2 linked regions of the Arabidopsis thaliana genome follow. The protein of the gene in region 2 interacts with the protein of the main gene of each other region in a pairwise test. Each region holds a gene or a part of one and is shown on either strand. Other genes may lie near its edges.

Evidence for each region. The genes of interacting proteins can lie anywhere in the genome.
Region 1: the proteins of AT5G08480 (region 2) and WRKY24 interact in binary tests that used the Arabidopsis thaliana proteins (3 or more experiments, as listed by UniProt).

What each region holds. Positions count from the first base shown.
Region 1 is NC_003076.8:16,622,442-16,626,041, reverse strand, and holds WRKY24 (WRKY DNA-binding protein 24), read right to left. Parts: upstream 1,886-3,600; 5' UTR 1,823-1,885; coding exon 1,470-1,822; intron 540-1,469; coding exon 353-539; 3' UTR 65-352; downstream 1-64. Other genes in the region: AT5G41560 (DET1 complexing ubiquitin ligase), read left to right, coding at 3,423-3,506. UniProt on the Arabidopsis thaliana protein: Transcription factor. Interacts specifically with the W box (5'-(T)TGAC[CT]-3'), a frequently occurring elicitor-responsive cis-acting element.
Region 2 is NC_003076.8:2,741,191-2,745,157, reverse strand, and holds AT5G08480 (VQ motif-containing protein), read right to left. Parts: upstream 1,840-3,967; 5' UTR 1,315-1,839; exon of another isoform or gene 741-1,314; 5' UTR 673-740; coding exon 151-672; 3' UTR 47-150; downstream 1-46. Other genes in the region: PEX1 (peroxisome 1), read right to left, coding at 2,427-2,465, 2,559-2,831, 3,064-3,181, 3,398-3,459, 3,539-3,664. UniProt on the Arabidopsis thaliana protein: May modulate WRKY transcription factor activities.

The DNA of each region.
Region 1 (3,600 bases), about 14 Mb from region 2:
GGACCCTAACTTCTCTCTGTTAAGTATGTAGAAAAATATCAAAGAAGTTGTAGAGAATGAGGGTGGGTTTAATGAAGTTAGAGGAAACTACCTTTTCATACTTACATATGTAACTAAACTTGTTTTGTCTGGTATTTGTCAAATCATCGGCGTAAACCGATCATAAACCAGAAATCAGGGGATAAAATTCAGAAACATTTGTAAAAAGTCGTAACTGTTACATTGGTTTAAAATCTGATCTACACACTTGTGACTTGTCACTTGGGAGATGTGGGTCGTCAAACGGTCAGTGGGGTGATTAACACCTTAATCACCTTTAAGTAATTACACCATTAATTAAGCCATTATATATTCAAAGATTAGAGAAACTGGAGAGGAACTGGAGTTGCCTGAGAAGAGGATTAAGAGTCTCCATGAGCTTCTCACAAGGATGGTTATGAACGCCTTCGTAGGTCGTTACGACGACGTTTGGATCTTTTGCCAATCTCTGCACTTGTTTCTTCACGTTGCATGTGTGGTACGTACATCTGTAATAGCTCCTGCATTTTGTGACACAAGATTAATAGTTTCATCTATTAATTCTTCAAATTTTTTTTTATAATTCATATGAAAAATAAGTAGAAGTTTTGGGTGTCTATGCAAGACTGATTTTAATTTCTATGAAGTCTCATGAAACTATTTTTTTTTTCTATTTTTTGCTAAGAACGTAAATATCATATAAAATGAAGTAGAATTGGATTTATCTCTGCTTTTGATTCCCTAGCAAAAAGGAATAAAAAACAAGGAAGCAAATTAAATTACTTTTCATCTGGATGAAGTTTTCATATATATATGAGCCATAAGCCCATAAGAAACTATATATTTTATACTGATCTAGAACTAATTAAGATCATTTTCTTGACCAGAATATTGATGGATACATTATACATATTTGAGTAAATCATCCCTTTCCAAACAATTTCATACTCGGATGTGGTAGCACATAAAGAGAATCCCTATATCAGGTTTATACATGTTTCTAAGATTATATAATTGCACAATAATTAACTATATTATAGGATAATCAAATTATCAGAAAAGAAAACTATAGGATAATCCTTTTTTAAAAATCACATCTATTCTCATGCTTTGTTTTCGAAAATTATCATCACATCATAAATTTTCGAAAAGTACGTACGACAGATTTCGTTATAGGCTTTAGTAAGGGATTGATTTCGTTATATAACTATTACTAGCTAAACCTAAAAACTATGGTATTTTTGCAACTAAAAGATACATTTTCTACATATATCAGTTTAATGTTAAACACAAGACTAGATCGTACTGGTTGTTAAGCTAACCTAATGTTTTGTAGCCACGAAAGTTTTTGGTCGATCCAATATTTGGAAATCAATTTTAATATGATGTCATAGATTCACGAATAAAATTATAAATACTCTTAATTAATACAACTATATAGGTAAAAGTACCTGGGATGAGCATTGTGCTTGACAGATTTCTGCCCATATTTTCGCCAACGATAACCATCATCAAGAACATCATCATCGCTCCTCGTATGAAACGCAATCCTTGGAACTTTCCTCGATCTCTTCTCTTTCAGCTCCTTCCCTTTCTCACCTATTTGATCATTCTCAGGTGGTAATGGCGGCGCATGCACATGAAAGCTTTCTGGATACCAAGAAGAAGAAGATGAAGGTTCCACTTCACCGGAAAATGTTGATGGAGGCATCATCATTAGGGTTTTGTCTACAAAGGAAGAGAAGGTGTTGTTGTTTTCGACATCTAGGCGGCTTAACATAGGATTTATGTCTTCTCTGTCCATTGTTATAAGTCTCTTTCTTTCTCTATCTCTCACAATATTTATAGATGTGTAATGATAGATTGTGAAGAAAAAAGAAGGAGAAGAAGAAGAAGTAAGGGTAAAAGGGCATTGAGGCCAACTAAGTTCACCTAATTTTCTGTTCAACTGCTTTTTACCTCCATTTAGTTTCCTTGTGTTATTAAACTTTTATTATTATCTCCCTCATTTTTCCTATCTCTTTTTTTCTTCTTTTTCTTCTTTTTTATATGAGAGATTTGTATTGGCTTGGTCTAATATGTCGACATGTGGTTATATTTCAATAAATATTTACTACTCGAATATACGTACCTAAATATCTTTAAGTAATTAGTATTAATTAGTGTTTTTAGTCATACCTCACATGTATATGTTAATTAAAAGTTTCATAGATCATCAATTGTACTTGATTCAACTATATATTTTAAGTGACTTTTGTTTTTGTTTTTCTTTCGAACACACATGATATACTGTACGATCATATACTAGTAAACCATTGAATCCTATCAATTTAATTGAACTTATAGTGGAAAGGTGTAGTAGACATTGCATACATACATCATAAAACGTATGTTCAGGTTGAATTTAGAGTCAAAATCAATGTAACTTGGTAAAATGCTAAGTAGAATGATTTAGTTTCCTTGTTTTTTTTATGTATCTCATACAATTCAAGTGGCGTGGCTCTAAATTTAATACGGATAAGCGACTAATTCAACATAAACATGTTATTATGGTTGTAGTGGTTAAGAATCTTATTTGACCCCCAAAATAAATCAAGCCTTTTAACTCTATAAACACGTGGAAGTTTCCTTTGACCTATAATGAATGCTACATATGTAAAAAACCAACATTAATCTCACTGAAAGACATATATGCGAAGAAGAGAGTGCATGTGTTTTTCTTTCTTCCTCATCTTTTTCAGACTCTTTCTTAAGGAAAAAAACAGTGAAATTACACAATTGAAAGATAAATATTTTCAGTTTCGATGGTCATCGAAGGAAGATGGAATTTTATTAATTCATATTTATGAATGAAAGTGAATTGAGATCAAAATATAAAAAAAAATTAATCAATTTGACTAGTCTAGAAAACAATTTTGGAGAATACTTACGAAATCAAATTCACTTATCGATTCTATAAAAATATAACACTCCAACATAAACCATCCGCAGATTCCATAATTTTATTTTCACTCGCACAAATTTGAAAATAATTTCTTAATAGATTATATCTTGAACCGATTAACTCAAATACGTTTACTAAAAAAATTTCAACACAAATTATAGAATCAAAAAGTGAACCTTGTTGATATAGGCACTTAATTAATTTTCTTGAAATATTCCTATGAACCATAATTGTTTATTCATATTTTTTTTTTCTTTTTTTGTAAATAAATTGTTTCTTTATTCATATTCATATATAAAAAACAGAATCTCTATTGTTATTTAGAGAAACATTAATTTGAAGCTGGTTCTAGAGGTAGGCCCAATGGGCCCATAAACCCTTTTTCGTTTCTCCCTTTTATATCTCTCGTCTCTCTCTCTCTCTGTCTGAAGAGAAGGAAAGATCATCAATCACGATTCCAATGGCGTCGATTCTGGGTGATTTGCCTTCCTTTGATCCTCACAATTTCAGTCAACATCGTCCCTCCGATCCTTCTAATCCCTCTGTTAGTTTCTTCCCCCAAATTCAATTTTTCAATTTTACGGATCTGAGTTAGGCTTTACTTGGTCGTATTGGAAAAAAAATGTGTCCTTTGTTGA
Region 2 (3,967 bases):
AAAGCAATTGCACATATGACACAGACAAATCTTGAGTGAACAATGTAAGAGAACAATCTTCCTCTTCCAATGATATTGTTGTGAAACTCTACATGTACATAATCTTTGGGATAGTAGGCAGAGAACAAACTTATGATTAATCTGTCGGGTTTATGGTTTGCCACTCGAATTGGGAGATGTTAAAGGAAACAAAGTAAGCAATTCTGGTTCTGTATACCCCGGTTTAGACCTTGGCGATGGATGCAAGTAAAAGCGTCTTTCTTTAATGGCTTTCTCCTCTTCTTCGATGTTTGTTGTACAACTATCTGGTTCCCCTTCTATCAAGGACAAGTTAGAGAACAATGAAGAAGGGGTGCCCACTGGACTTGTTAAAAGGTTGGTATTACCAGATTTAGATGATGGTGTCGTACCAGTGGGCTTAAAGCTCAGAGGAGGTTTGACAATTTCAAGCTTTGGCCTCATACATTGCCTTCTCTCATGGAGCTTTGAAGTTGGCCTCTTTTGTATGGCGGTTTTTATCACTGTTGCTTCTGGTGTTGCTGCTGCAGCGTTGTTCTCTGTTGGACCTGTCAAGCGCTGCACAATTTCTCTGAAAGTGTTGGTGTCAGTTTGGACAAATGTAGTGACAGGCTTGCAGGTTGTTGCAACGTTTTGACTCCCTTTGCTATTCATATGTAAGTGTTTCTCTGACAAAACAACCTTTGATTTACACCTATTTTGGTCTCTGACCTGCAACAAAACTACCGTTTATGCAGTTGATGAGAAGATGAAAAAATATTCAAACATGAAAGGTCCTATCAAGAGAACCGAGGAATGTCAACTTCATGTGAGTTCAGAGATTAGATTGATGGAAGGTTAGAAATACTCAGAAGTCTTCTTGTAATCCAAAATTAGGTATTTGTTAAAGATTTCCTTCGTCATAATTTTTCAAAAACAAGCAACTCAAAACATAAATAGCTACAGATACAAAAGATGAGGTAGTCGTGTACTCAAACCTCACCACTTTTACAAGAGCACTAGATTCTTATGTGGGGAAAAATAATAAAAAATTGGCTTCTCCTAAATTTGCTTTGACTTGTTGTATACTCAAATATCTATATCAAAGTTTGGTGCTCTTACTAATTGTAGGAATGACAATGAAGAGGGCTTTTCATGTCCTAAATCTATCTTCATCGTCATAATCATCATCTTTATGGTGGTTACTAGTTCATATGATGAGAGAACTGTTAATAAAAGTTTCTATGTAGCATTCAATTTACGATTTGATAACCCTACAGGAGTCAGAGAGAATGATAAAAAGGTCAAAAGGCATACCTGAAGAGCAAGCCGAGGCAACAAGTGGAGGTAAAATCGAATGAGAATGCCGGATTTTTTTCTGAAGAAATAGAACTTAAAACAGAAGAAGGAAATAAAAAGAGAGAGAAAGAACTAAAAGAAGATATAAAGACTGTTGTTGGTCTAATGGTCACAGCTCAGAACTTGTTCATATTACCAGAAAAGAGAAGAAAATGAAAAGAGGAAAATCAGGAGAAGAATATGGAGAGGAAAGAGGAAAAGGACTCTTTTATCCCTTTGTTCTTAACCGTTTTTGGGTTTGGGTTTTTGTCACACAAAAAAGATAATAAATTATTTTGTTTATAGAACTAAGTTTGTTTGGTCAAACATCAAAATGACATAATTTGTGATGAGTTTATTTCATTGTTGTCGTGAAGGAATGGAGAAAGGAAGTTAAAGAAGGAAGAAATGCATGCCGTTTCGGTTAAGGAGATGGGTAGAGAGAGACGTCACAGCAACCTCTCTCCCCCGCCCAATTTATAAACCAATCGTTTTTTTTTTTTTGGCTGTCTCTGTTGAATGTGATGAGATATTATTAACTGTACTCATGACAGTTTCTTAACTGACTCTATTCGTCCTCTGTGGATAATTTTGTTGACTCATTTCAAGTTATGGCCATAACAATTAACAACATTATTCACTGGCATTGTCAAAGATAGGAGGCAACAACCTTTACCTGTGAGTTACGAATACGTTGTCGTTTCTTTTCCTTTTTTGCTTTGGACTGATAAATTTTGTTGCACGATAATAGTTGACTCTTTTCTATGCGTTTTTATTTCATTTCATACACAAAATTACGGAACTTGAATACCATTTTTATCTTGTTTTGACCAAAAATATTACAGCTTTTAAAATTCTAAAATTGCCAAAAGAAATGTATTAATCTTATTACTGTAGAGATGTCTATAGTCGTTTGAATCTTGTAGAACTTACCATGTGTCTCTCTAGTATCTAACTATCTTTATTCCAAACTTCAACCACTTTTACTCTAATGCTAACAACTGGGCATATCTATCATAAAGCAAATTTTACAACATGATGTGATTTCTACAATGTAACCATTCCTTTTTGTGTCTTTGTAATACCTTTGATTATGCTAAGGTTGCTCTTTTGCCCTTTGCTTCTCTTGACTACAAGCAAAATAAGATTTTGATGTTGTTAGTAATCAACAACTGGGTTTGTATAAAAGGGAAGAGGAATTAGAGTGGAGATGAGAGAGATACCGATTTTCTTGAATCCAGAAACTGGCTATATATGTCATAGAGCTTTTGTTTCTCGGTTTCGGAAACCGATGGTTTAGTTTTAGAAGCAATCGACTTCAGAAGAGGATCAGTTATTATTGGTGTAGTTCCGGTCTCGGGTTTATCTTCTCTGTTCAGATACTCGTGTACAGCTGCAAGTTGCGCATCTGAGAGAAGAGCTTGAAGATCAGCTCCACTGAAGCCTTCAGTCATCAAAGCTATAGGCTCTAGGTCAATATCATCAGCCATCAGAAGCTGTAAAAATGCAGAAAGATTTTTTGTCATCTTAACTACTTGTAATATATATAGATAAATCTTATCTACATATTGTCTAGGGAGACCATCAATTGAATGTCAGAATCCAATGGAAATCGCTTAGCCATAGAAGATTCTAGTTAATGGTCGTTCAGATATGTAGCATACATACTTTACATGAGACTTGAGGACAAAAATGATTAGCAGAAATGATGTAACTGAGAGTACTAACCTTTCTAGAAAGAACTGTAAGAATCTCTAATCGTTCTGGTGGGGAAGGAAAGTCGCACAAAAGAAGACGATCAAGCCGGCCAGGCCTTAGGAGGGCAGGATCAAGTAAATCTGGTCTACTGTTAATTGAGTCATGTATCCATTATAAAGTCATTATCCCTCTTTTGTATGTAATGAAAAACATAAATTGAGGACTGAGCACAGGCTTCAAGATTATCATATTTAAGATTTATTATTAACTATCAACTCAGAAGAATCCACCGTTTGCAGTTGATTATATGATACATCGAACACAAAATATGATATGCAAGATAGACTTATTCGGGTGTGAATACCTGGTTGCAGCAAATACAAAGACCCCTGTTAGAACTTCAACTCCATCCAGTTCTGTCAAAAACTACGCAAAAGAAAAATATGACATGAGATGTTTGAACTTTGACTTGGATAGAATTTGCTCAGACTTTGAAGTAACTTACTTGATTAACAACTCGATCAGTTACACCAGTATTATCATGTCCTCTTTTGGGAGCAATTGAATCGAATTCATCGAAAAAGAGTATGCATGGAGCTGCAGCTGCTGCTTTCGAAAATATATCACGGACCTGAGAGAAGTGTGTTTTCCATTATTGTATATGCGGAACCATTAGGATAACATTTTCAGATTTTTATGTAAAGAGACTAGCAGGAATAACAATTAAAAAGGAACAAAGCTGTCTGAAAACTTTTCTCTAGAAACATTTTCAGAGGTTTCTTTATCATTCTATTGTTTAATACAAGGTAAAGACTAGGCAAGAAACCCAGAAAAATCAAAATAAATTCAACAGTATAGATAATAGCATGCGTCACTAAAGAACTGAATAGGTTGATAACCATCTCAAAGGTTCTTGAAGATGGAAAACAAAGAA